3 linked regions of the Canis lupus familiaris genome follow. The protein of the gene in region 3 interacts with the protein of the main gene of each other region in a pairwise test. Links are inferred from orthologs where the notes say so. Each region holds a gene or a part of one and is shown on either strand. Other genes may lie near its edges. The genes, in order: TRIM37, ZNF639 and PNKP.

The links.
Region 1: the proteins of PNKP (region 3) and TRIM37 interact in binary tests that used the Homo sapiens proteins (3 or more experiments, as listed by UniProt). The two-hybrid records come from large-scale screens. The link is inferred for Canis lupus familiaris from reciprocal best matches to the Homo sapiens genes PNKP and TRIM37.
Region 2: the proteins of PNKP (region 3) and ZNF639 interact in binary tests that used the Homo sapiens proteins (3 or more experiments, as listed by UniProt). The two-hybrid records come from large-scale screens. The link is inferred for Canis lupus familiaris from reciprocal best matches to the Homo sapiens genes PNKP and ZNF639.

The regions. Positions count from the first base shown.
Region 1 is NC_049230.1:33,630,350-33,639,573, reverse strand, and holds part of TRIM37 (E3 ubiquitin-protein ligase TRIM37), read left to right. Parts: intron 1-3,412; coding exon 3,413-3,500; intron 3,501-5,170; coding exon 5,171-5,293; intron 5,294-6,915; coding exon 6,916-7,039; intron 7,040-8,012; coding exon 8,013-8,080; intron 8,081-9,224. UniProt on the Homo sapiens protein: E3 ubiquitin-protein ligase required to prevent centriole reduplication. Probably acts by ubiquitinating positive regulators of centriole reduplication.
Region 2 is NC_049255.1:12,933,701-12,943,712, forward strand, and holds the start of ZNF639 (zinc finger protein 639), read left to right. Parts: upstream 1-4,082; 5' UTR 4,083-4,162; intron 4,163-4,726; exon of another isoform or gene 4,727-4,777; intron 4,778-4,940; exon of another isoform or gene 4,941-5,301; intron 5,302-7,471; 5' UTR 7,472-7,543; intron 7,544-8,176; 5' UTR 8,177-8,187; coding exon 8,188-8,245; intron 8,246-9,469; coding exon 9,470-9,580; intron 9,581-10,012. UniProt on the Homo sapiens protein: Binds DNA and may function as a transcriptional repressor.
Region 3 is NC_049222.1:107,367,821-107,377,655, reverse strand, and holds PNKP (bifunctional polynucleotide phosphatase/kinase), read right to left. Parts: upstream 6,056-9,835; 5' UTR 5,911-6,055; exon of another isoform or gene 5,896-5,910; intron 5,633-5,895; 5' UTR 5,620-5,632; coding exon 5,469-5,619; intron 4,845-5,468; coding exon 4,798-4,844; intron 4,426-4,797; coding exon 4,126-4,425; intron 3,455-4,125; coding exon 3,375-3,454; intron 3,296-3,374; coding exon 3,238-3,295; intron 3,144-3,237; coding exon 3,036-3,143; intron 2,727-3,035; coding exon 2,655-2,726; intron 1,635-2,654; coding exon 1,586-1,634; intron 1,508-1,585; coding exon 1,437-1,507; intron 1,353-1,436; coding exon 1,260-1,352; intron 1,186-1,259; coding exon 1,089-1,185; intron 1,003-1,088; coding exon 941-1,002; intron 778-940; coding exon 668-777; intron 589-667; coding exon 501-588; intron 418-500; coding exon 356-417; intron 264-355; coding exon 146-263; 3' UTR 107-145; downstream 1-106. Other genes in the region: AKT1S1 (proline-rich AKT1 substrate 1), read right to left, coding at 7,744-7,887, 9,252-9,421, 9,511-9,588. UniProt on the Homo sapiens protein: Plays a key role in the repair of DNA damage, functioning as part of both the non-homologous end-joining (NHEJ) and base excision repair (BER) pathways.

The sequences.
Region 1 (9,224 bases), on a different chromosome or scaffold from region 3:
GCCTGACATGGGGCTCAATCTCTCACCCCTGAGATCATGACCTGAGCCAAAATCAAGAGTCAGATGCTCAACCAACTGAGCCAGAGGTGCCCCTAGTGAAAAGCTTTTTAGGAAATGCAACTATGGGGAAGCCTGCGTGGCTCAGTGGTTTAGTGTCTGCCTTTGGCTCAGGGCGTGATCCCGGGATCAAGTCCCACATCAGGCTCCCTAGGGAGCCTGCTTCACCCTTTGCTTGTGTCTCTGTCTCTCTCTGTGTCTCTCATGAGTAAGTAAATCAAATATATATTTTTTAAAGAAATGCAACAGTGTGTCTCTTTAATAGGCAACCAAAAACTTAAAAAATTTTTAACTATAGTAAAATACGCTTTATATAAAATTTACTTCTTAACCATTTGTAAGGATACACTTTAGTAGTGTTAAATATATTCATATTGTATACCAATCTCCAGAACTTTTTCATCTTGCAAATCTGAAACTCTCTACCCATTAAACAATAATTACCCATTTCTCGGGATCCCTGGGTGGCGCAGCGGTTTGGCGCCTGCCTTTGGCCCAGGGCGCGATCCTGAAGACCCGGGATCGAATCCCACGTCGGGCTCCCGGTGCATGGAGCCTGCTTCTCCCTCTGCCTGTGTCTCTGCCTCTCTCTCTCTCTCTGTGACTATCATAAATAAATAAAAATTAAAAAAAAAAAATAATTACCCATTTCTCCTTCTACCAACCTTGGCAGCCACCATTTTATTTCCTGCTTCTTCTAGAAGTTTGACTGCTCTAGATTACTCATACAAGTGAAATCGTACAGTGTTTGTCTTTTTGCTACTATTCCTTGATTTTGCATAATGTAGTTTATATTAGAATTTTATTCCTTTTAAAGGATAATTAATATTCCATTGTGTATGTGTATCACATTTTGTTTATCTGTTCATCTATTCATGGACATTTGGATTGCTTCCACTTTTGGGCTATTGTAAATAATGCTACTGTGACCATAGGTATTCATCTTTTCTAGACCTTGCCTTCAATTTTTTCTTTTTAAGATTTTTAAGTGATCTCTACACCACAACATGGGGCTCAAGATCAAGACTTGTACGCTCTGCTCTATTGGTTAAGCCAGCCAGGCATCCATTTTTTTGGAAATACAACCAGCAGTGATATTGCTGAATTATATGGAATTCTGTTTTTAATATTTTGAAGAACTTCCATACTGTTTTCCATGGCAACTGCATCATGTTACATTCCCACCAACAGTGTACAGGATTCCAATTTCTCCATCTTTGCCCTAGGTAGCCATCCTAATGAGTATGAGGAAATATCTTGTGGTTTTGATTTACATTTATCTGATGATTAGGATGTTGAACATCTCTTTGTAATGCTTATTGATTATATGCACATCTTTGGGGAAAAATGTTAAGTCATTTGCCCATATATATTTTTAAAAGATTTTATTTACTTATTCATGAGAGACACAGATAAGCAGAGACATAGAGGGAGAAGTAGGTTCCTCGCAGGGAGCCCAATGCAAGACTCTATCCCCAGACTGGGATCGCGCCCTGAGCTGAAGTCCACGCTCAACCACTGAGCCATCCAGGCATCCCAATTTGCCTGTATTTTAATCAAGTTTTTTTTTTTCTTTTGTTGAGTTGTAAGAGTTCTTTATTTTGGATATTAACTCTTTATCGATACATGCTTTGCAAATAGTCTTTTTTTTTTTTTTTGCAAATACAGTCTTATTCCATAGATTGCCCTTCCAATCTGTTTATTGTGTCCTTTGATGTACAGAAGTTTTAATTTTTTTTTAAGATTTTATTTATTTATTCATGAGAGACACACAGAAAGGCAGAGACACAGGCAGAAGGGGAAGCAGGCTCCATGCAGGGAGCCTGATGCAGGACTCGATCCCAGGACTCCAGGATCATGCCCTGGGCCAAAGGCAGGCGCTAAACCGCTGAGCCACCCAGGGATCCCCTCAGAAGTTTTAATTTTGTAAAAAAGATCTGTATTTTAGAGAGAGTGCACAAGTGAGGGGAGGCAGATGAGACAGACAGACAGACTCACTCTTATACAGACTTCACACTCCAGCATTGTGCTGGATCTCATGACAATGAGATCACAAACTGAGCTGAAACCAAGAGTTGGATGCTTAACTGACCGTGCCACCCAGGCACCCTCAGTTTTAAATTTTGATGTAGTTCATTTTATTTATTTTTGTCTCTCTTGCAGGTGCTTTTGGTGTCAGTAAGAAGTAATTTTGAAATTCAGTATCATAAAGCTTTTCCTCTATGTTTTCTTCTAAGAGCTACATAGTTTTAGATCTTTTATCTATTTTAAGTTAAATTTTGCATGTTAAAAGCTAATGGTTTTTGTCTGCTAGGGCTGCCATAACAATATCACAGACTGGGTGGCTTACATAATACATTTATTTTCTCATAATATTGGGCTTGGAAGTTTAAGGTCAAGGTATTAACGACTTGGTTTCTGGTGAGGCCTTTTTCTTTGACATGGTGGGGTTCCTCCTTGCTGTGTCTTCACAGGGCCTCTTCTCTGTGTGTGAAACTTCTGGTATCTTCCTCTTCTCGGACTGATACCAGTTTTGTTCGGTTAGGATTCCACCTTTAGGACCTCATTTAACCTTCTTTACCTCCTTAAAGACCCTATCTCCAAGTACATTTATATTGGGCTTCAACATAGGAATTTGGGGAGGATGCAATTCAGTTTATAACCAGGTCCAAATTAATGTTTTACACGTGGATATCCATTTTAAGGGGAAATTCATTTTTTAAAATTGAAGTGCTCATTTCTCATGAGAGTATGATATTATGTGTGTGTCTTGATTGTTAGCATTGGCCACATGTGGGACAAATATTTTTATATGTATATGTGTTCATGTAGGTATGGACTCGTGATTTGTTTATAAGATAGAACTTACAGTGATGCTAGGAAATGATGCTATATTTACACTTTATTTAGAAATTAATCTGGGCAGCCCCAGTGGCCCAGCGGTTTAGCACCGCCTTTGGCCCGAGGTGTGATCCTGGAGACCTGGGATCGAGTCCCACGTTGGCCTCCCTGCATGGAACCTGCTTCTCCCTCTGCCTGTGTCTCTGCCTCTCTCTCTCTCTCTCTCTCTCTCTCTGTATCTGTCATGAATAAATATTTTAAAAAATAAAAAAAATTAATCTGCATTTGTCACAATTGTATAGAGTCTTTATAAATTAATGAAAACAATAGTTTAAAAGATTTTGTGTTCACATATGATTTTTTTTAGCTTATAGAAGCATGGAATGCATTTTATATTGTTTCCTGAGTTATAATCTGTTTAAAATTAACTTGTTTTCTAAACTTAGGAATTTATTCAGTAATTATCATATAATTTTAATTAATTTAAGCTATATTTTCTTTTCATAATATATAGATGTGAAAATCACCATGAAAAGCTTAGTGTATTTTGCTGGACTTGTAAGAAGTGTATCTGCCATCAGTGTGCACTTTGGGGAGGAATGGTGAGCAGAAAAAATTTAGCATATTACTTTTAGCTAGAGACTGGAAAGCACCAAAATACTTGTTAGATTTAGATAGAAAATATTATTTTACTCTGCTTATAGATTGAAATTTAAATGCATCTGATTTGTAGCAGAAGGTATCACATACACCATAAACTTCTTTTGTGGGAGATATAGATTTGGAATGTGCATTGCTTACATAAATACATTATTTTAGTTGGAAAAATAGAAAATGTATATTTGTAAATCTTTTATTGTAGGATCAAAGTCTTATTTCTGATTAAAGGACAGTTGATCTGATGTCCTGGCCACAATTTCCAGATTCAGTTTCAAATGAAACAATTTTAGATATTTGTGAAACAATATGAACGCAAACATCTTGATCTTATGGGTTTTTTTTTCTTTTTTCCAGTTTAATTCAAAAGTAGTTTTTAAGGCATTGTACCTTTTATCAAGTCTAAAACACTCAAGTCAGTTTTCCTGTAAACAGCCTTTGTTTCACAGTTTCACTGTTTAATTAATATTTAAATTGTATACCTATGTACTAGGTGCAATTCATGTAAATAGGCTTGAGAACAAACCCAATAGGTTTTTGGTGGGGAGAGTTAGTTGTAGTGGGAGCAGAAGTTGCTAGACAACTAGACATAGCTGTTAGCAATAAGAATTGATCATTCTTGGGGTACCTGGGTGGCTCAGTTGGTTAAGTGTCAGATTTCTGATCTTAGCTCAGGTCATGAGTTCAGACTGAGTTGGAACCTACTTAAAAAAAGAAAAGAATTGATCATTTTTTGGGTATCAGCATATTTCAGGGAGAGAATGACAGGCAACATGGTTCAGTAGAGCTCATTTTAGAGAGTTTTCTGCTAGGATTTGAGTACTAATGTTCTGAGTAGAAAAAACTGAATTCTTACAATTTAGTACTTAATTAAATATGTGGATTTAGTAAGAAGCAATGGGAACATTCTTTTCTATATTTTAAGTGGACATACAAAAATCTACATCTTTTTTATTTTAGAGACCATGGTTGGGTGCTTTTGTTAAACAAGACAATGCTAAGAACTTACCTGTTAATAGTAAGGTTTTGTGGTTTTTTTTGTTTTAGGCTTTATTCATTTTAGAGAGAGTGGGCACAAGTGGGAAGGGCAGAGGGAGTGGGAGAGACAATCCCAGGCAGACCCCACGCTGAGCACAGAACCCAGTGTGGGGCTCAATCTCGTGACCCCAAGATCATGATCTGTGCAGAAATCAAGAGTTGGACACTCAAACAACTGAGCTACCTAGCAGAAGGAGTTAATTTTGCAAAGGCCTAGTGAAAAGAAATTTGAAAACATGAAAAAGGGTAGTTAGTGCTGACCAAGAAGAGAGTGGCAAATAAAGTTGTGTCAGATGGTTTGAGCCATGGTTAAAGATTTTGGTTCTTTCTAAGGAATACAGATTTCTAGATGAGTGTAAATGTTTTCCTGAAATTCTTTATCTGTAATCATTAAGGATTTCCTATATGGGCCAAGTGATCTTGAGAAAGCTCTTGTGGATTTTAACAAAGTAGACAGCCAAAAAAAAATTCATTTGAAAATATTTACTAGTTTCTTAGTATCCACGAAGTGTTAATAAAGAAGTATGAGTGGTTGAGGTAAAAAAAAATGTTCTAAAACTATTCTTAATTTAAATAGCATGGTGGACATACCTTTAAACCTTTGGCAGAAATTTATGAACAGCATGTTACTAAAGTGAATGAAGAAGTGGCTAAACTTCGTCGGCGTCTCATGGAACTGATCAGCTTAGTTCAAGAAGTGGTAAGACTACGACTGAAAGATCATTATCCATTGTATAGTCTATCTTATGTAATATATGTATTTTTACAATACAAATAAATTAATCGAGATTAATCTCGATCGATAATCGAGATTATCGAGATTTAAAAATTTGAGAAGATATATTTATAGTCAGTTTCACCAACTTCAAACTAGCTGAGGAATTTGCATCCAAACCCCTGGCCTGTTCCACATTTGGAACCAGAAAATTGCCTTTTCTTATGCAGAAACAGAAAATCTGTGAATGAGTTAAATAAGCCTGTTTGATATAGTCCATAATCGACTTGTAAATAGTATTGACTTTTACAAAGTCATTGAGTCATTCTTTGGACCCTCAGCTTTTGGGAGAGTTTCTGCTACCAATGAATGAACTATTTCTGATGTCTTGAAGTAGAACTCTACAGAATTGCAAGAGTGATATTTAACACTACTCTTCAGATACTTTATAGGTCAAACAGATTTGGTTGAGTTATTTACCACTTATTATTTATATGGGGAAATGTGATACAAGTTTCAAACATTTAAGTACTGAATATACTTTTTTTTTCTTTCTTTTAAGATTTTATTCATTTATTCATGAGAGACAGAGAGGCAGAGACATAGGCAAAGGGCGTAGCAGGTTCCCTACATGGAGCCCAAGGCAGGACTAGATCGCTGGATGGGGGATCATGCCCTGAGTCGAAGGCAGATGCTCAGCCACTGAGCCACCCAGGCGTCCCCTGAATATACTTTTGGAATTGCTGGAATGCCAGTTGTAGCTAGTGAGGTTTGGGGCCTTTTCTGATTTAAGATATCTTTACTTAACCCTTTCAGGAATCAAGATTCAAAGCATTATTTTATAACATTTTTTTTTATACAAAAAGTTTCTGAGTTGCGTATATGCTACCTACAAAGTAATCTTGGAATATAAATAACTTGAATGTCTTCTCTTTGGACTTCATCTAACTCCTCTTTTTTTACTGTTATTTTCTCTTGGCAACTTAATTTGATCTTTAGGGAGCATGTCCTAACTTTGAAATTCTCACTGCTTATATTTCTAATAAGCATAGGAAAGATTACTTTTTATTTTTAGTGGTATGCTTTAAGAGTCTGCAATGTGTTCTGTAATCTTTGAAAATCCTGGTTTTTTTTTTTTTTCTTTTTCTTTCTCTGTTCTAAAAAATGTTTTAAACTTTGTAAACTAGAGTACATACAGTGTTTGAAATTTTTCATTTGTTTTAGTTTTACATGATGTGAACCTGGCATCAGTATACTTTTTTCTTTTTGAATAGTGGTTTTTTTATCAGATATGATTGGGGCTTTGAGTATTTGTTTTGTATATGGTATTTGAACCAGAATTTTGTAATTACGTATCTTTCACTGTTAAAAGAGCCTGTACTTTATTGTTTTGTTTACTTTTAAGAATTTTGTTCCTGCTTCATTTCAGTGCACGATTTTTTAAAGCAGTGAGTTGCCTATGATATATAAACAATTTAAAAGTATGATTGTATTACAATTTTTAAAGAGGAAATCAGCTTACTTTAAGAATAATTGCAGTGATTGTGTTATGTCTGTTTGCTTCTGTTTTAAAAATTCAATTTTTTTTTTACCTGTTTATCTTCTAGGAACGAAATGTAGAAGCTGTTAGAAATGCAAAAGATGAGCGTGTTCGGGAAATTAGGAATGCAGTGGAGATGATGATTGCACGATTAGACACACAGCTAAAGAATAAGCTCATAACACTAATGGGTGAGTGTTTTTCTATGCTGTTGTAATATGTGGTGCTTTGAGCCTCCTTGAAGTTCCATCTTGAAAGGGTAAAGGTTGGTGAGTTGTTATAGGCTAGGAAAAGATGGCCTTTGAAAGTAAAAGTTCCACCTGTTAAATGTCCCTCTGAATCAAATAACGTTACACATAATTAATATAACTCCCATTAACCCCATGGATATGTATGCTTCTAGTTCTTTAGGCTAGTGATTTACAATGAAAATGGCCTGGTTCAGCAGCCATGGCTTCCTTGTCATCATCTTTTTTTTTTTTTTTTTCTCCCGACATCTAAAGCAGTTTCTTCCTTCTCTATAGTAATTCTGTACAGTAATACAGAATTACTAGTAATACAGAATTCTCTATAGTAATAATAAATTATTATTATGTTCTTTATTCTTGTGTGTTTCTAGTTTCTTGAGACTATTCCTGTTTGGGCTTTTTGTTTTGTTTTTGTCTTTGCCTTTTTTTTTTTTTTTTTTTTACAGATTCTTATGTTTAAAGAACATACCATTTGTTGACATGTAGTGTAACATTTGGCCAACTTACTGTATTTCTTTTTAAGCCACATTTAAATTCTGGGAAAGAAGTACTTCAGAAGAGTTGATTTGAGTAAAAAATGTACTCTTTTATATATGTTTGTATTCTTTTAGAAAAAGCAGTAATAGTTTCCTTAGAGAATATATTGTCATTGTGTATTCCTAGATGAACTTAATAGATCTGAATTGCAATTTGTCTAAAACTGTAGTTAAGGTTGATTCTGAAATCCCCTTGTCAAAGCTACTGCAATATTAGATTAGGCCTTTTAAAGCTCTGGGGAAATTTTTTAGGGTAGCTTTAGTGACCTTTTATTTACTTGAAATCAATTCCTTGTTATTGACTATGTTCAGTGAAAGTTAATTTCATTTTTAAACCAGTAATGAGGCTGAGTGTTGGTGTTTTGCTGTCTTTTAAATAGGTCAGAAGACATCTCTAACACAGGAAACAGAGCTCTTGGAATCCTTACTTCAGGAGGTAGAGCACCAGGTAATGAAATAATAAATGTAATGAAATAAAAGTTTATCAACAGGCTTAAAAAAATTTGGGGAGGGGCAGGATTGTGTGAGACCAAAAGATTGGGAGATCTATGTTCTATATTAGGCATTTTTATGAATTAGGAATCAGCAGATTCTTCTCAAGTTTCTCCATCGTGTTTGGGATTTATTTATTTATTATTATATTTTATAATATATATAATATATATAACATAAACTATATTATAAATTATTATGTTATTTATTTAATAAATTTAATAAATTATTTAATAAGATTTATTCTGTTTTGTAAGAACGCTATTATTTTTGTAGGGAATAGCCTGTAGAAATCTGTGAATCTATAAAAGATGAAAATCTTCTGACATTGTGACTTAAGTGGTGATTTTGAGATAAAATGTTGCCAATTATATGTAGTAATTCTTATGGTAAAATTAACATTTTTATTTATTAAGGAAATTTTTTTAAAAGATTTTATTTATTTATTCATGAGAGATAGAAAGGCAGAGACATAAGCAAAGGGACAAGCAGGCTCCCCTAATGCAGAACTCAATCCCAGAACCCCTGGATCACAACCTGAGCCAAAGTCAGATGTTCAACCACTAAGCCACCCAGGCCTCCCTGTTAAGGAAATTTTTATTAAGTATCAAATAGGTAACAGGCATTTTTTAAAGATGTTCAGAACATAGCAGTGGACAAAATGGCAAAAATGTTGAAGATGAATGAATAAAGTGCATAGTGTTACATATTTGATATATTAGTCTGTGTTATATTCGGTTTTGGAATTCTTGAATTCCTCTGAGTGCCTGATACATAGATGTTTCCTCAGATTATTCTCTTAATTATCATCCTGGGGATTCCATTTACTACTTTGCATTTTTTAAAAAGATTTTATTTCTTTATTAGCATGATATGGGGAGGAGGAGGGAGCAGAGGGAGAAGCAGACTCCCCACTGAGCAGGGAGCCTGACCGAGGGCCAATTCCAGGACCCTGAGATCATGACCCGAGCCAAAGGTAGATGCTTAACTGGCTAAGCCACCTGGACACCCCCTTTTTACTTCTTTCTTGGGTTAAAGTCCATATTTCCTGATTTCCATGGCTTCTACTCTCTTGCTTTACTTGTTTTAGTATCACATAT
Region 2 (10,012 bases), on a different chromosome or scaffold from region 3:
AAGAAAGAAAGAAAGAAAGAAAGAAAGAAAGAAAGGAAGAAAGAAAGGAAGAAAGAAAGAAGGTGGTCTATATAAGACACTGCTAAGCAGAGAGGTGGAGCAGACTGGAATTCAAGGTCTGTGGAAAAACAATATGATAAACAGAATGAAGCCAATTTTTGTGAGGACAGAAGCTTATGCGAATTGGGAGAATTAAATTGTAAGAAAAAGAATACTAAATTATAAATACAAAATTTTATTTAAATACAAAATTATACAAGAATATCAGATTATAAATACCTCATCTTAGAAAAGGTTCATGCAATTGAGGGGACTTGAAGCCTATACTTTGTTTCATTCACAGTAAATTCATGTCTGATGATAGGTAGACCAATGTACCAAAAATACTGTGGAGTCTCTAAAGAGTGATCAGAGATCTCTGCCAGGAAAAATCAAAGATTTCACAGAAGAGACAAATAAATAAGAGATAAATCTCTTATCAAGAGATCTTGATAAGATCAAGAGCTTGATCTTACAGACAGAAGCAAGGTAAATAAATTACAGGTGGAATAAACATGCTGAATGAAACACACAGGTGAGAATAGAGCCTATCTATGGAATAGTAAGAAGTGCTATTTGGCTAATGTAGGGTTGGGCAGGGAAAGCCTTAGGATAGTGACTCTCGAAGTGTGATCCTGGGGCAACAACATCAGCATTTTTCAACTCCAGCCCAGATTTATCCAATTAGAAACTGGGACCGGTGCACAGATAGAGAACTGCTGGTGATTCTAATGCAGTTAAATTTGAAAACCAATGCCTTAGGAAGTTAATTGAGCAGCAGATGAAGCTGTCCTTACAAATTTAATTTCAGGCTGTTATACAAGATAGAAATGAGGGGGGAAAAGGATTATGACAGAAAGAGAATGGGTTCTCTTTCTCACACCTCAAAATAAATTACAAATAAGCTAAAAAGTTAAAGTAAAAAATTCAACCATATATTGGGTTAGAAGAAAAGATTATTTCAGCATAAGGTGAATAATAGACTCTGTAAAGGAAAAGATTAATAGACTCGATTTCACAATTCAAAACATATCATTAACAAAATTGAAAAGTAAACAAACTAGAAAGAAATATATGGAACATTTATCTCAGGTAAAAAGCTAAAAATTTTAGCTTTCCTTAAAAAGATTAACAGCCTGTAGAAAAAACAAAGGACATTCCCTGAAAATTCTCAAGGGAAATACAAACGACCAATAAACACATGAGAAAACATTCAAGTTCACAAAAACAAATACAAATTAAAATAGAATACTATATTTTATTTACCAAATTAGCAGACCATGGTTTAAAGATAGAAACAACTGTATGGTTGCTTATAGTGGAATTCCAAGGTGCCATTAACATTAATAGCATAAAATATATTCAGGCGATAATAAGGGGCTGTTTTTTTTTTTAATTTTTAAAACAAATTCTGAATGAATGGATATAGATTTAAAAAAAAATAGGGATCCCTGGGTGGCGCAGCGGTTTAGCGCCTGCCTTTGGCCCAGGGCGCGATCCTGGAGACCTGGGATCGAATCCCACGTCGGGTTCCCGGTGCATGGAGCCTGCTTCTCCCTCCTCCTGTGTCTCTGCCTCTCTCTCTCTCTCTCTCTCTCTGTGTGACTATCATAAAAAAAAATAATAATAATAATAATGTGCAGCTCTTGGGCAAAATGCTACCATTGGTTAGCTCTGGGTTGTAGGATTATAACTTTTTCTTTTGCTATTTGTACTTTGATATTGTCTCCATTATGTGATAAAGACGTATCCCTATTCTAAGAAAAAATTAAACTAGGGATGCCTGGGTGGCTCAGTGGTTGAGCGTCTGCCTTCTGCTCAGGGATCCAGTCCCACATCCCGCTCCCTGCAGGGAACCTGCTTCTCCCTCTGCCTATGTCTCTGCCTCTCTCTGTGTCTGTCATGAATAAATAAATAAAATCTTTTTAAAAATTAAGCTACACTATAAGTGTGGCTTTAAAAAAAAAAGTTGGAGAAAATGATGATTCAAGGGGCACCTGGGTGGCTCAGTTGTTTGAGCGTCCGCCTTTGGCTCAGGTCATGATCCCAGCATCCTGGATTCTGCCCCAGGTGGGGACTCGCTGCTCCTCGGGGAGTCTGCTTCTCCTTCCTCCTGCTCTTGCACTCTTTCTCTCCCTCTCAAATAAATAAATACAATCTTTCTTTAAAAAATGATTCAATACCCCTTTGGCCAAAATTATATTAGAAGATAGCAAACTCTACAACTCCGTACTCTCTTTTGAGATTTTAGGGTTTCATCCGTGCAGCCACCACCGTCCCTTAAAAGGAAGGAAAGGAAGAGACGGATGCAAAAATGAAACTGGGAAATGTACTCCAGCTAATCAAAATAGCCTCTGACCTGTGATTATGCTAAAGGACAAGTAAGCATTGTGATGCTCTTCTCATTTATTTCTCTGGGAAGGGAAGATAGGGTGGGTTGGTTTGTTAATTCAAGTAATGTGCTGGGCTGGGGGAGGGGGCGTGTTTGCTCTTACAGCAGAATGTTTTTAAATAAAACTTCAGCCTAGAATGTAAAGATTTTGGCAGGAGGCTACGGATGAGCAACACAGTAACTCAAAATGATCCCATACCACCCCCTTGTGGCTTCCACTGTGTCACATCGGGGAACAGCCCAACCAGCTAAGCATGCATAGCGTTCTTCATAAATTCAACAAACACGTGTCCATTCCCTACTCGGTGGCAGGTACTAACTATACTAGAATTTTAAAATGCCACTAAATCTCTTGTACTTCATCCAGGCCATGCCAGCATTCGTGAATATTCACTTCTTCGGGCTGAGTACACACGCAGAAGTTGAGGTCATAAAGACTGAGCATCGCAAATTGGTGTCTCTTTAAAATGTGGCTTTACCTTCTGGGCTAGAGGTGAAGGTATGGGAGTAAGGTCTGTGATTATTGCTCTCCAGGGTGTGGTTGGTTGGGTAGCATGCGGTGATCAGAAAAGCCACCGCGGATGTGGATGAAAAGACATCGATTGCAGCCCCTACTCTCAAAGTGACCTTGAGCACGTGATAACCCGCATGGGCCTCCTTCATCTACTTAACAATTATTTGAACCCGGGCGCTGAGGGTACAAAGATGAATAAGACCTAGTCGGTTTAGCGCCGCCTTCAGCCCAGGGCGTGATCCTGGAGTCCCAGGATCGAGTCCCACGTCGGGCTCCCCGCATGGAGCCTGCTTCTTCCTCTGCCTGTGTCTCTGCCTCTCTCTTTCTCTGTGTCTCTTGTGGATAAATAAATAAAATCTTAAAAAAAAAAAAAAAGATCTAGTCTTTAGACCCTCGCTTTTCTAATGTGTTAACTGGGACTGACAACTTCAATTCACTATCAGAGATCAAACATATGACCACACTTCGACAGGCATCTTCATTTCTGAAACCGTGTTCACAGGTTCCCGTATGCTTGTTCAATTTAATCCTCTCCACCTCTGCTCATAGGAGCTCAAAAATCCGAAAAGGAACGAAATCATCTAACCGAATCCCCTATAAGTTCACATTCATTCCACCGGGATTCGTGGAACCAAGGAAGCCCTAATAATGACTCGCGATCCTCAAGCTTTCCAGCCTCCTGCCCTTGGGCACGGCGCTCGCAGCCCAGCGTCGTTCTTTGGTGGGGCCTCGGGGAAAACCCTGAACCCGCCGTCGCCTTTCCGTGCCCGGCAGGCGGCTGCCACTCTGCGGGCGGAGCTGCCCTCGGCCGGGCCTCCCCGTGCAAGGCCACTGTCGCGCGCCCCCTGGAGGAGCAGCCGGGTGGGAAAGGGGCCGCGAGCTGCAGCGCTATCCCGCTCCTCGGGCGGCGGGGCGGGGGCGGGGGCGGGGGCGGGGGCGAGTTCCGTCCGCGGCCTCGCCCGGAGCGGTTCTAGGAAGTGGAGTCACCCGCCGGGCTCCGGAGGGACGGGACCCCGCCCGGAAGAAGCCCGCGGCGGCGCACAGGTGCCGGCAGGGGGCGCAGGCCGCCGAGCCACCCCCGGGGCTCCCGCCGGTGGTCCCTCCCAGGTCCGCTGTGCAGCGTGGCCGCGCCGCCGCGCCCCGGCCCCCCGCCCCCGGCCCCTCCCCGCGCAGTCGGCGGGCCCCTGAGGTGCGCGGCGCAGGCGCGGAGCGAGGCGGTGAGTGCGGCCGGCGAGCCTGGGCCTGGGGCCTGGCGGGCAGGGCGAGAGGCGCGCGGAGGGACGGGGGCCGCCCGGGAGCGCCCGGGAGCGCGAGGGCCGGCGGCCCCTCCGCCCACGCCCGGGCGCCGCCGCGGCTGGGCGGGTCGGGCGGGCCCCGCGGTCGCAGGGAGCGTGCGGCGCAGCCTCCCGCGGGAGAGGCCGGCGCAGGCCCGACGGCGTCCTTTAAAATGAGACCCTGCCTCGGCTTTCGGGCGGGATGGCGGCGCCCCGCGGGCCGAGGCAGCCGCGACCCGCTCCCCGCACGCGCGCGCACGCGGAGGACGCCTCGGGCCTCCGCCCGCCGCCCTCCTGCTGGCTGCTTTGGGGTCGCCTAGGCGGCCCGTGGGCCCGGCGCGTGGCCGGCGGCTCCTGCACGGACGCCCCTCGGCGGCCCGCGGCGCCTGGGCTCGGGACCGCGGGTGCCCGGCTGGCCCGGCCGGAGCCCTGGGCCCTCCTCGCGGTGCTCAGACGCCCCTTCTGGTTTCTTTCCTTTTTTTTTTTTTTTTTTTTTTTTTTTTTCAGTACAACCTAGGGACGCGAGTAGTTTGAAGCAGTTCATCTCATTGCAGAGAGGTAAAAAACGTGTCCTTTGGCAATGCTGACACTGGAGTCGGACGTACCGTGGGCTCTGGTTCAAGACCTCTCCTGAAACGTTTTTGCGTTTGTTATTTTTTTAAAGATTTTATTTATTTATGCATGAGAATACACAGATTGGAGAGAGAGGAGAGAGGCAGGCTCCATGCGGGGAGCCCGGCGTGGGACTCAACCCGGGGTCTCCAGGGTCACGCCCTGGGCCGAAGGCGGCGCTAAACCGCTGAGCCACCCGGGCTGCCCATGTTTCTGTTATTTTAAACTCTGGAGAGCATATACTTATCTTGAAATGAGGGTGAAAAAGAACTTGCTTTGAAAACCTTATTGGAAAGATGAAGCTTTTGATTGTAAATACTTGGTTTATTTTTGTACCACTTAGAGAATATTTGTATTACGTGAAAGGCTGTTGATCTCTTTGGTGAAGATACTGACTGCCTGTTTTGTGGCATTTTGCACGTTGTTGGGGGGAAAAAAATGACAGGTGGAGAGATGCCAATATGTATTTTGTAAGTTGCTTTTTGAAAAAAAGTAGTACTGCATGTGGCATGGTGTCATTTTTGTAAATGTGAAATATATATGGATACCTTGGCATAGGAAACTGTCTAAATGTCTATCAAAATGTTAGCAGTGGTTTTTCTGCGTGAATAGATTCGAGGTGATTGAATTACTTTCTAACCTCTCTCCTCATTTTCCTGCAGTGACATGTATTCTATGTGTAATTTATTATATGTGCTGCCAAAGCGAGGACTTCTATGTGTAATTCATTAAGTGGGGAAAAGGAAGTGAATGATTAGGTCCATGAGATTCAGAATCTTCCCCATGAGAGGAAGACCAGTGAGCAAAATGTTCATATGACATCTTTTAGTAAAAAGCCAAACTTCTTCATCAGGGCAGTTATGTATACAAAAAGCACGTAAGAATATGTGCTGAAATGAAGGATAGTATTTCTGGTCTTGAGTAGGCATATTAGCATTCATGCTAAAAGGAAGTCTGATAAATATTTGGATATTGTTCGGCCTCACGTCGTAGTCAGAGCTTCCCTGATCAAGGTGATCCTGTCCTGTTCCTCTCATCCGACAGTCTGAATCCAGGCCAGCTTGCAATGTTAATTCTAATGCTATACTTGCTTTCCTTTCCTTACTTTTTCATTCTTCAAGTTGGAAAGAATTTAAAGTGTATTCTGAAATAGCAAGAGGTTACTTTAATGTTTGGCTGACAGTTTTCATTGTTCTCCCTGATAGTTTTAGAACATTTAAAACATGAAGTGTAGCGCTCTGGGCTGTATAAATTCTAGAGGTGTGCAGAAGAGGTATTAGGAATAAGTCTTGAAGTTTTAGTTTATTATATAATAAGAAAATTTTTATTTTCTTAATGCACTTGATTGGGAAGGGTTTAAGGAATGCTATTTGTGTTCAGGTGAGCCTTTATATAGAGAGAGACTATTTCTATAAATCCACTGTTGTTGGTTTCTTTGGGTGATTCCCTTCCCTTTCTCCCAATTGGTGGTGGAATAAGAACTGGAAGATGTAACTTGCTGGTAATAGTGATTAGCAATGAAAATTACACAGAGTTGTTCGAAACTCGAGTCAGAAGACAGGCTTTTTCAGTTCTGTTCTGCCGCTTAGTTGACTGGACTTTCACTGAATCTGCTTCCTCATCTGTGAAATTGGAGTGAGTTTGATAGTAGCCCCTCAATGTACCTCACAGGATTGTTGTGAAGATCAAATAAAATAAGAGGAAAATGCCCAATAAACTAAAAAGCACTATCTTATTACTGCATGATCACATCACCTATAGTGCTAATTAATATAGCCAGAACTTAGTGAAGTAGCAAAAACAGTGTGTGCACCTGAAGTTCCTTACCATTAAAAACAAGATGAGCTCAGTAATGATACCAAGTTATACCTGCCATGTATATTACTTTGACAGTAAGAAAAGCAGCATATAATGCTAGTGGAGAAAACATGTTTCTTTTTCTGACATCCCTTACTTGCCCACTTCTGTGAAAGAACACTAGCCTGAAATGGAAGAGGAGATGTTGATTCTGACACTAAGTTGTTACTTGAATTGGAGTAATCTCTTTATCTCCCTATTTGTTTCCAAAGTATATGCTTTAAAAATAGATCTTTATTCAGTTCTAACCCTACCACTTATTAAGAATTGCCTTGACTTAATTTTACTATGCCTCAGTTTTCTCATCTGTAAAAGGTAAATAATTTTGAGAGGATATTGTATATTTTTCATGTTATAGGATTAAATAAGATAAAGTATGTGCACAGCCTGGCACATGATAGGTGTTAAATAAATGGTCATTGTTCTTATATTGTTAAATAACCTATAAGGACTGAGTATAAAGTCTGATTTGGTTCACTTTCATTGTATTTGCTTTCATTATGGCTGAATAAATGAATCAGATTTATATTCCTATTTTGCTGTTAAATTATAGCTTAAGCTTTACAAAGTAAATTCATTTCAAAGAACAATGACACATGTATACACTCACATAGTTATCAGTTTTTAGTGCTTAATACGGTATATTCAAAAGATTATTTATACTTGAGTTAATTCCGTGTAACTTTCCAGTTAATTAAAGACCTGGTGCCATTGTATTTTTGAGTCTCAGAAGTGAGCTACATTTTTGCTTGTATGACTTCTGTTGTGTTTTTTTTTCTACAGGCATTTTTTACCATCTGTGAAAACTTCCTTGTAATTCATTTCTCCTCCCTACAGTATTAAGAATTATACCATGTAAGTGGAATGTGGAAAACCAATTAGTCAATTTTATAAGAGTCCATGGGAATCTAATCATTTAAAAATTAAACAAAAGTTGTTACCTGCTTTGTCCTAAATAGAATGTTGAATATGACCTTACAAGTAAGAAAAGTATTTTTTTTCTTGGAAATTATATTCTGAGCTTCTACGTGATGAATATATTTTCTGGAAGCCTGGGGATAGATACAGATTTGTGACAATATTTTTTAAGGAAATATATACACTTTTAGCTTGAAAACTGCATCAAAATACTCCCATTTATAAGAAATATACTTGTTTTATTCTTAAAAAGATGCCATAGCAGCAATTTTTTAAAATAAAAAATAAGAGTATAGCTTAGTGTAATTATCCAGTTCTCACAATTACATCAACATCTGAAGTGGACTTCTCAACGTCACCAAGAAAAAAAACAGATTTTGGTGTCCTGCCTTTAAACTTGATCAGAAAAAATAAACCTAAAATATAAATGGAGGCATTTCTCTTACAAAGTAGATTTTCAAGTGGCACACACATTTCTTATTACCAATAAATTCTTTGTTTAGGATGAATTTCTATAAAATATTAACAATATTCATTTGTGGTATTTTTGTTAAATTTTTCCATTTTTAGATTGAAAAGATATGAATGAATATCCTAAAAAAAGAAAAAGGAAGACATTACACCCTTCTCGTTACTCAGGTCAGTGATTATTTTAAAGCTGGACCCTGGATTAATTCCCATGCAATTGCATTTTTATCAATTTTCTCATAAATGATCAGATAACAGTTAAATATCTGGGTCAATTTTTAGGTAAGAGAAAACTTCAAGTTCTCTGAATGTATATTCATCTGTCTACCATGTGCTAGGTACACATCAGAACTTTACAGACATTATTTAATACTTAAAACTTAATGGTTGAAAGATACTTAAAAACAGATATCCAAAGTTCCACACTTACACAGCATAATTGGGATTTGTGTAATTCCAAGCTTGTTCTTAATGTACAGCATTAACCTTGATGGAAGATATTTGGATTATTGGGGAAATTTTTTTTTTTATCCTGTACATTATTTTCAGAAATATGAACTTTATTTTTATTGTGTTCCTTTGGGTCCTCTGGTTGAGGTTGGCCCTGCTATCTTGGCAGTAAGAAAGGTCTTTGACTTCACTCATATGTGGAATTTAAGAAACAAAACAGGAGTATAGGGGAAGAGAGGGAAAAATAAGACGAAATCAGAGATTTAAGAGACTCAATCACAGGAAACAAACAGGGTTGTTGGAGGGGAGGAGGGGCGGGGATGGGGTAACTTGGGTGATATACATTAAGGAGGGCACATGATGTAATGAATACTGGGTGTTATATAAGACTGATGAATCACTGAATTCTTCCTCTGAAACTAATAATATACTATATGTTAATTGATTTTAAATAAATTTTTTAAAAAGAAAATAAAGTATATGTTAGTGAAAAAAAAAGAGGTCTTAGTGGCCACCTATAACTAATCTCACATATATATATATTTAAGACAGTCTCTGGCATACCTGTTAGCCTACCCAAGCTACACATTCTTCGTATCTGAGGAAATCAAGCCTGGTTTACTGTCTGAGAGGGTCTGTATGCCTTTTGCTTTCTCTTCAGTACATGGCAGATCTTCTTGGTAGTCAATTCAATGTTTATAACTTATAGAATTCTGACAGGCAAATCTATCTTTGTGTGCTTCAAGTGCTATTTTGTAAATCGTGTAGTTTGTGGTTTTTTTCAAAGCTCAATGTCAATATCAAATCTGAAATATAGAAGCTTTCAGAAATGAGGGAAATATTAATACTTTATTACAAATTTGAAAGTGTATATGTTAAGGGATGGCTGTTATTAAATGTATATATATTTACTTGAAAGTTTTAAAATTTTGCTCTTATTTTCAGATTCCTCTGGAATAAGCAGGATTGCAGATGGATTCAATGGAATTTTTTCTGATCATTGTTATAGTGTTTGTTCTATGAGACAACCAGACTTAAAATATTTTGACAACAAAGGTATATATAATATTTTCCAAAATATCCTTTAAGTTGTATTTTTATATTCTTGAGAATGTGGGTAAAAGTTATGACTTCTAAATGGGCAAGTATTCAAATTTGTCTAAATGTAGGGAAATGAGGTTTTTATAAGAAAGCAAATATGAATGTTTAATTTTTAACATTATTTTAGACCTATAAATAAAAAAGCACAGTCTCCTAAGTCTATTTTAGGTGGCCAGGAATAAGTAGAAAATCAAGACTGACCTGGAGTTGGGAGCATATTTATGATGAAAGGTTAGGAACAGTGCTATACACAGTTCTTCCACTAAGGTATAGTCCAGAGGGCTAAATGGAAGGAACAAAGGATGAAGGGTTTGATGTTTTTCAGTCTTGCATCTTGTATTGACTCTTTTCAAGAGCATTGAATAAATGATAACAACTTGCATTTAT
Region 3 (9,835 bases):
GCCCGGGTGCCTGTCCTCACTGGGTAGACTACCCTTCTTTCAGCATGATGCTGTCCAAGCTTAAAAAAAAAAAAAAAACAATTTATTGGGGGCAGGGGCAGGGGCAGGGGCGGGGGCGGGGGCGGGGGGGGTGGGGATGCGCAGCTCAGCCCTCTGAGAACTGGCAGTAGAGCCGTTCAAGCCGAGGCTCCAGGTTCAGCCGGAACGGGATTTCCAGGATTGCCGAAAATCCTTCTGCCAGGGTCGGGGCCTCGAACTGCTTTCTGGCAGCAGGGGTGATGGGGGAAGGTGAGACCCAGCTGGGGTCCGGTCCACCCCCCACCTCCTCACCTCCCCACTAGGCTTCTGTGTTTACCTGTAGCCATACATGACCACATCGGACACGGGGGCGTGAGAGGAGCCCGTCATCTCTCGGAACTGCAGGGGGTGGGGGTTGGGGTTAGGTCTGGGAATTGGGGGCCTGGAGGCGGTCGGGACGGCAGGGGCAGGGGCCAGCTTACCCGGTTATTGTGGCGTGCATGCTCCAGGGTGGTGCTGAAGAGGAAGCAGCGGCAGGGCACACCTGCGTCTCGGGCACACTTAATGTACCTGTTGGGGCCAGGAAGGGGCCAGGCTGGTAAGGGGTGCTGAGCCCACCCTATAGAGGCTGCCCATGGGAGCCCAGTACCTGGCCCGGGTCGGAGGGTCTGGGTTTGTGTTGTCAATCACAACCCGTTTCCTCTGCTTTAGAGCATTCTCACACGTGGTCACGCAGCGCTGCCATGAGCCCAGGGTGTCCTGGGGGATACAAGGTGACAGACCCTGAGTGGGAGAGGGCAGGAGAAACAAGGGAAGCAGACACCTAGGGAGAACCTAGGTGGGGTAGGGAATGGGCACAGAAGATGGAAGGATCAGGGACTCTGCGCTCAGCCTGGGCACATTGGGGGGGGGCCTGTCTCACCCTGTTCACGTGCACGTATCCTGCTGACACAAGATGCTCTTGGAGGAAGGTGGACTTGCCAGCTGTGAGGCAGGGGCAAGGTCAGTGGGGGCCCAAGGACCCAGAGCTGGACTGGGGCTTCTGAGGTCAAGGGGTCAAGGTGTCTCACCCCCAGGAAATCCCACGGCGACAACCACTTCAGGGTCGTGGCTCAAGAGGGAGCTGGACTCCGGGAGGCAAAGCGGCCCCGAGGGGGAGACGGTTCTCTGGGAGGGGTGGTAGTGATGAGCAAGACCCTCTCCTCCTCTCCCGACTCCCACTCCCACCCCGAAGGCCTCACCGGGTCAAAGGTGGGGAGCACGAAGTTGGCAACGGGCCACTTGAGAAAGAACTCCTCTGGTGTGGCGAAGGGCAGGCCAAGGTTGAGAGCAAACTGGCGGGGAGGGGACGACAGGGGACACAGACATCAGATAAGGTGGGGACACAGCTCCAGGCCAGCAGGGGAAAGGAGCCTCACCAGACGGTCTGCACAAGAGAAGTCTTTCTTCTTTCGGCCAGGGGCCCAGTTGGCTGGTCGTCCAGCTGCATCTGGGACAGAAGACAGCTCCATGTCCACCAGCGGCCCAGCCGAGGGGATCCACACACTCCCCATCCCTGGGTCCTTACCTCCCACGAACATGCTGTCCCCGATGGAGACAGGCACACCTTCGTTGCCCTAGGGAGGGACAGGTGACAACAGGCAGTAAGGAACCCACCCACTCCCATGCCTGCTCCCCTAGAATACTAATGGGGGTTGCGAGGATGCTGAGCTGGGCCTGACGTCTGGCCTCTCCTGCCCCAGTTCAGCATCATATCCTGGTGGCACGTCTGGCCTCTCCTGCCCCAGTTCAGCATCATATCCTGGTGGCGCTGCCACTGCTGGGCCACTTCCTACCCCCCTTCACTGTTCCATCCCCATTGCGTCTGTTCCCTACACAGCCACCAGGGGGGTGTCAGTTCCCACTTCTGTAGATTCCTCTCCTCCCAGCCCTCCTGGGCCCCATCCCTTTGCCCCCTGGCTGGGTAAAAGGGAAGACCTTACCTTACCCACAAGGCCTCACGATCTGACACCTGCCCGATCTCTGACCCTACGCCCCACCCTTACCCCATCATCCATTCAGGTCCTGCTACCCAGGCCTCTTCACTGTCCCTGAACACACTAGTCATAGCCCTGCCTCGGGACCTTTACATGTGCTTTACACATGCTGTTACTCCCACCTGGAAGCTCTTCCTAGGTTCCCCTGCGAGGCTCCCTCCCTCACTAGCTTCATAATTACAAGGGCACCTTGGAGAGGCCTACCTAACCCCTGTAGGTAAACCCTGCCTCACCTCACTTCACTCCCACCATTTCACACCCAGTCTGTGCACCTCTAGTCTGCACCCTCGCTGGTATGTGAGCCCCAGCAGGTCTGTCTCATACGCTAACAAATTCAGCTCAAGAAGCTGTTGAGCTTCAGAACAAAGGCACACACAAGAGAATACATGGACAACTGATGTGTCCCTGGACCATCCTGATCTTCAGAGTTGAAGAGTGCTGTCCGCCTGTACCTAGACTGGGACTGGTGGAAAAGGAGGCAAGGACCAGGGAATGAGATGAGAAGAGGAGAGAGGAGGTGGCCAAACAGCAGAGACCTGTGGCAGGGGGAGGCTGGGCTGAGTGAGGGAAGAAGGGAGCTACTGGGAGGCCACCACTCACCTGTTCCCGCAGATGGTCCCACATGCCGATCACTGGCTTCCGGTACAAGCCGGCGTGTGTGGCCACCAGCACCTGTGGGTGAAGGTCAGACACCCTCCTGGGCTCCTTCCCCAAATCCTTCGAGGGTGCATGGGTGCCAGGGATGCTACCCCTTCACCAACCCAGAGGACTCCAGATGCCCAAGAACCCATTTATGATGGGTTTCTACCAGCATAACCCTGCCGGGGGGCCTCCACTGCCTTCTGGTACGTATGCCTTCTCCCTGGGTCTCTGTTCCCTCCTCTCTGTCACGGTCTGACACCGTGACACTAACTCTGTCCCTGCCTCTGTCTGGGTCCCTGTCCCCCAACCTCTATGACTCAAGCTCCCTTGCAGCCATACCTGAAAGGGGAGGCCCAGTTTCTCCACCACAGCCTCCACTTTAGCCTTGAACTCCTCTGCCGGCAGCTTCCCGCGCCCAATGGCCATCTGGTTGGTGAAGATCACCAGCTGGGGGGGGGAAGCATGGATGTCACCTGGTGCCCTTCTCAGTGGGGCCCCAGCCTCCCTGTGGCCTGGTCTCCATGCACAAAAGCACACATACCTTGTAGCCTTCGGCATCCAGCTCCCGGAGCTTACGTGGAATCTCCAGGTATAAGATCCTAGGGTGGGTGGGAAAGCAGGTAGGTGACCTGGGGCCCACGGGGGCCTCACTCACCCCCTTGGTCTGCCTCTTATCACCTCCAGTCGGTGGGGCCGGTGGGAAAGACTTTCCCAGAGCGTGTGGTGATGAGGGTCCCGTCCAAATCAAAGCCAGCCACCTGATGTCAGCAAGAAAAGAGGAACAGCGACCCTGTTATGCCTCTGATCTCGACTCACAGGCTACATCACGTCACCTCTGCAACGTAGAGACATTACCACTTGCCCGTCACTAAATGGGAAACTGAGTCACAGCCTACACATCTTACGTTTAGGGGAAGGCACAGGAAGAATGTGTCCCTACCACCTGAGTGCAGAGCCCGAGATCTTCACTGTACCATCTCCTATTTCTCCTATGCCCCTGGGTATGCCAGCCTTTAAAATGGGGTTCACGTCATACTCACCCACCTCCCCTGGCCTTCACTTCAGGCTAATAACAGTGAAAATGAATACAGGAGTGAAGTTGGGTGCAAACCACATGTAGAGGACTGAGCCATGCGCTTTTCTGGGTTTATTACTTTACAGGGGACTGGGGGGCGGGGGGGATGGGGGGGAACTGTGAGGTCAGGTCTCTGGGTCCCTGTGAAAATGATGGTGTTCACTACTGTGCTTTCTGGGGCTCAAGCAGGAGCTGACATACATCGATGCCCCCAGGGCTTACAACACCCTCTGAACTTGTCATCAGATCCACTTCTCAAAAAAGTGGCAGCTAAGAGAGGTTGAATGGCCCAGGGGCACACAGCACACATCATTCAGCCCCAACTCCGTGTGGCTCCCTCAGCTTGGCTCTCACCTTGCTCCGAGGCTTCACCCCCGGTGCTGTAAATACTAGCAGCTTCTCGAAATTCTCCCAGCCCGGGGATGACTTCCGCATGCGTTTTTTCTGTGGCTCAACAGCCTCTGCCTCATGGGGAGCCACGGGAGGGGTGCCGGGTGGAGTGTCTTGCTGGGATACAGGCGTGCGGGCCTCTTCCCAGCGCAGGGTTAGCGGGTGGAGGCCGTTGACCAAGTACAGCGTGTCCCCCACCCTCAGAGAACCTTCTGATCCCGGACTCAGCTCCTGGGTCCCAGCAGTTGAGGGGTTAATTCCCAGCTGCAGAGAGAGACAGAGAGAGACAGAGAGAGAAAAGGAGGAGGAGGAGGAGGAGGAGCCGGGATTGGCTCCGGCCCCCAACCGGAACCTCCACGAATTAGAGGAAGGACAGCCTTCCCCCACCTGCCAATCAGACCCTTAAGCCCCGCCTCCTCACTGCGTACCACCAATCAGGGACGTGGAAGAGTTACTGTGGTCCAGCCTTAACCCAATTCAAACGTGGATGGATACGCGTTGAAAATGGCAATACCCCGAACCTTCTCTGCTGGCCACGTCCCCTTCCCTCAAACCGGGTTTTTCCAATGAGCCTGTTCCCTGCTGGGCTGCCATTCCTCCCCCAGGCCTCGCTGCGCCTTGCTGAGCAACTGGTACCTGTTTCACTGCCACGGTCCTGGTCCTGGGGTTTGCGACCAGCTCCACTGAGGGTTGAGAGGGTGGAGTGAGAATGTGCATCCTTGTGCGACGGCCTTCCTCACTACTGGGGAGCTTGGCCAGCTTCAGGCCACAGGATGGGGACATTCAGGCCATTCGGGACGGGAAAGCACTTTATTTCTAAATGGGGTCGGCTCTCTCTTTACATGCAGTAGTCAGAGAGAGGCCTCAGAATAGCCTGTGACGCCGGTCCTCGCCCAGCGGCAGGAGGCATTCTTCTGTACAGAACTGATTTCTCCTTGATGAGGCGTGTGACTGGGTGCAGGTCCTGGGCTACGCTCGTTACCACCTCGCCCTGCTTAGCAACCGCTACTTCTCACCGTAGCATCGGCTCTCTCCTTGGCAAGGGTCATGACCTGACTTAAGCCTTCCTGTGAGCATCGTCCTCTGACAACTGTCTCCCCACTAAGGGGTCTGGCTAGTTCCAGACCAGGCACAGCAGTTCTCTTCTTATGCTCCCCCGAGGGCACCTAACTGCAGGACGAGCTACACCACGCAATCTCGCCTGGCGGCCAAGCAGCTCCCTTACTGCACCGGCTGCCCACCATTCCCGCAGAGCACGTTCACGCTCCAGAGCGAGCCACAATCCCTACAGCTACGGCCCCGCCCACCTTGGTTTCTGGAGCACTTCCGGTCGGTAACCTGGGTCAAGGGTCCCCGGCCCAGGACAAGGGCTTGCCCGTCCGAGGGCAGGAAGATGGGGGGGGCTCCCCCGGGGGGGCTCTCCAGCCACAGGCGGCCCTGGGTCTCCACCTCGGCCATCCCAGGAGCCAGCCTAAGGGGAAGTAAACAGGTTTGAGTGGCAGAACGCCCTCAAACTGCTACAGCAAGTCCCGCCTCCCCCCGCCCCTCCACCAGGACTCTCCCTTCTTCCGCTTAGGGCTCCGGAAATCCCACCCCCTCGCCGGCCTCTGGCTCGCGCCGTTTCCCGGGCGACGACGCCCCGCTCAGTCCCGCGGAGAGTCCCGACCGGGACATTCCAGGGCAAAAGCCAAGAACCTCGCGCCCGCCCCCAGCTCGGCCCCGCAATCACCGTACCGGACCGGGACTCACTTCCCACTTGCGACCAGGGAACTCCTGCCCGAGGCGCTCTGCCCACAACTCGCCGGCGGCTTTCTCTGTTCCTCGGCGGACGGAAATGACTCGCCTACGGAAGGGGGCAGGGCGCAGGGCTTTGGCTCCGCCCACGACGGAAGCCCCGCCCCTTCTCAGACCACCTGCTCCTTCGGGCCCTCGGCGGCTCTGACCTTCCTCTCTCCTCCAGCAGTGGGAGGCTCCGACCAGTAGGGGGTGTGGGTCCTCTTTCACAGATTTTCCTCTTTCCACCTGGAACTCTTTTAACATTTCATTCCCTTAGTTACAGCGGGACACACTTCTTTTTCATTTGAAGATCATCAGTCCAAGAAATGTCCACCCCTGACAGCAGCCCTGACCTTCAATACTGCAATTTTCTCATCTTTAAAGTGAGAATAATCGTTTCCCCTTCATGGGGTTACTAGGAAGAGTTACTAGATGGAACTAGTCTTATAAAAGTGGTTGATTGGCAGTTCTGTTTAAGTCTTGTCTATTGCTAGCATGTCCCAGGTGGTGGTCTGATGGGAGAGGAAGATTCCAGGTTTACTTGGCCCAGCCAGACTTCGGACCAGGTGCCATTTGTTCTCTAACTTTCAGCTGTCTTATATTAGGCAGAAAACTTCTGGCCTCAGTTGGTCGCTTCTGGCTGTCGAGACTGAGTGGATTCCAAACACTGATGCTTTGAAGACCACATTCCAACACTCATCCCCCCCAAAGATCGGGGATCAGTGGTCACACAGAACTGGAATCTCCCCCTACAACCCCATGAATCTCTTATCTGCAAAATGGGAACAGTAATTCCAACTCCCAACTTTACACTGAAAGTCAACTAGGTGCTGCTCATTCGGCTTCAAAGTGTTGAATGAACACACTCTATACTCATTTGTCAGAGGTAAAACTCTTTTAATCTCAGACCACCGCTCCCAACTCCCGATCCCCACCCACGACTCTCTTCCCCACACAAGGGCCGGAGAGCGAGGGCCCCTGCCCCCCACCTCGGGTGGACAAGGGCCCTTTAAGGCACCTGTGGGGGTGGAGGGAGAGGGGCGGGAGCTGGTGCCGTCCTGACTGCAAGGACGGACTACGATTGGCAGGCTGTTGTGGGATGGAACCGAAGAGGGTGTCAGACGCAGGGACAGGATTGGGCCATCCCTGGGAGAGGGTAGAGGGGCACATAGTCAGGACTCGGTCAAAAGCGACCCCAGTCCCAGTAGTGTAAAGAACGTAAATTTAAGGCCGCAGGCCAATCCTGGGGTTAGGAGGGTTTGGCCACGCCCCCAGAGGGCTGGAGCCTATCAGGTGGGACAAACTAGGAAGGGTGGGCTGGCGACTCCGGGAGATTGGTCAAGCCCTTTGCGTTCAAGCCAATCAAATGAAGTTGCCTACTCTCTAGGCTGTAGTGGCTTACCACTCCCCAATCCTGTGGCTTGGCTGTTCTTTTTCAACCAATGCCGCGCGAGCGAAGCTCTGGTCACTGGGCGAAAACGACAGTTGACCCTTATGAGGGCTTAAAACTAGCCACGCCCCGGTCCGGGAGCGAGCCAATCCCTTAATCGAAAGAATCTGTCGCTGGGCAAAAAAAATGCAGCGACAGACCCAATCCGGAAACTAGATAGGTCCCGCTCCTCGGCGCGAGAGGGGGTCGTGGGCTGGAAGGACGGCGGGAATTGGCGGGGAAGGGGCAATCCTGGGACCCCGGGAACCTGAGAAGCCGGTCCCGGGTCTGACTCGGATTGGCCGGGCCCAGGGGCGGGGCAGGGGTGTAGTGTGGGGCGGGGCGGACGCTGGGCCTGGAAGCGCTCTCCCTGGGCCTCAGTATTTCCGCTTCAGCTTCTGGAAGTCGCTGGTGTTGAGCCGCGGCCGCGGCAGGTCCCCGAAGACCTGGGTGTCCTCGGCCTCCCGCAGCACCAGCGCGCGCATGCTCGCCGCGATGCGGTCCAGGTCCGGCGAAGAGGGCTGCGAGACCGGGGCGGGGTCAGCGCCCGCCGCGGCCCCGCCCCAGCACTTTTTGCCTACTGCCAGGAAGGCCCTTTACCCTATCTTGCTCCTTGTAGGATCCTTCTAACCAACCCAAATACCACCTCCTCCAAGAAGCCTTCCTGGCCCTCTCTTCCTTCCCTTCTTGGCCTAACTCTACGTGCAAGAACAGCTAACCGTCCCACTATCCTTCAGTTCCTTCTTACACAGTGGAAGTGCTGTTTCTCTGCTATCAAGGCTAGATACCAGGGGGTGTCATGTCTAAGGATGTGGGTTGGGCTTGGCATTGAGTCATGTAACAATCCAGCCTCTGCCAATGACTAGCTGTCAACAAGCATTTCATCTCCTGAGGCTTCAGTCTCCCCTTTAAAACGCGCAGCTGATGACAGCGCCTGAGACAATCAGCACAGTGAGTGCTCAAGAAGTGTGAGCTACCACGTTGCCAGCGCTATAGGGAAGGGGCCTGGTTTCACGATGGCCTCCACCCAGGAGGGGCCCTGTCATTCTGTCTGCTCCAGCAATTAGGGCAATCTCCCTTTTGGCCCCACACCTTGAGCTGGGCCTAGCCTCCAGGAGAATGGGAGAGGCCACACGGACAGAGGCTGGACCTGAGCCGGTTCAGAGGTCAGACCAGCGCCCCCACCTCTCAGGCCTCAGATGTTGTTAACTGGCAATACAGGCAGACGGCAGATGGATGCTGCCAATGTGTCAAAGAGGACACGGGGGGGGGGGGGGGGGGGGGGGGGCAGGGGCGCGCGGGGGAGAGAGACACACGATGACCATGGGACTCCAGGGCTGCCTCCCTTGCAGTCTGTAACTCCTTTCCAAAAGGAGGCTGGGTTCCAATCCCAGCTCTGCCCTTTCCAAGCTGAGGTCCCGGGAAGTCACAGATACTCCCGGTGCCTCAGGGAAGTTCAGCGCTGGGTGAGGAGGAGCCACCCAGGCCAGGCCAGGAAAGCCACCTGAAGGATTGTGCCAGAGAAAGAGGAGGTAGGGGAGGAGCCAGGAACACGCAGGGTGGGGACAGAAGATGACCTAACCCCTCTGTGCCTCAGTTTCCCCTTCTGAAGGGGATACCAAAACACCTGTGCCTTGCCAGGAGCAGGTATTCTATAAATGAAGCTGTTCCTAAAACCCAGAAGAGGCTTTTCTCCATGGCACTGGGGTACACTGTAAGGCTGCAGTAGTTCAAGCTTTAGGGCTCTGGCCCAAAAATCTGCCTCCTGAGGTGGAGGGCAAGATCAAGCCCAGGAAATGTGGCTTCCATGCCAGAGGGCTTCCTGGAGGAAGTGGCTCTGAGTCCCTCCCTGCACCCTCCTCTTTTTCTCCCTTCTGCCCCTCACCGGCCCATTCTCTTCATCCGATGACCGTGCTTCTGGCCTCTTCTCCTTGAAGGCCCAGACGGGCACGGACACAGGCAGGGACTTGGCATACTGCTGTGTGGGCAGGGCTGAGGCCGGGGGCACGGAGTAGGCGGGGGGGCCAGCAGGGGTCTCCTCGCTCAGGCTGCCATCTGGGAGAGACAATGGCCTTCAGCCTCTGTCCTTGCCTTCATCCCAGCACCCTGGGGGTGGCGGAGTGGGGACAGCCTGGGACACTTACCATCTGTGCTCTCAGGGTCCGACTCACAGAAGGGGGGCAGGTCCTGGAGTGTGGCATCCTCGTCCATTACAAAGAGCCCTATGGATGAGGTTAGTGACTCAGGCCAGTCAGGTCCCCGCTGTACCCCATGTGCCACCACCACCATCTCCCCACTCCTTGCATCGGCCGGTCCCTCAAAAGCCTCAGGGCTTCTGGAATTATTCCCTCTGCCTCAAACACCCTCCCCCTTGGTTATCTGCCTGGTCATCGGCAGAAACAAATCCAGTTTCTGTCTGTTACGCCCTCAGGTGAAAACAACTGGCTGGATAAACATGAAATCTGCAAG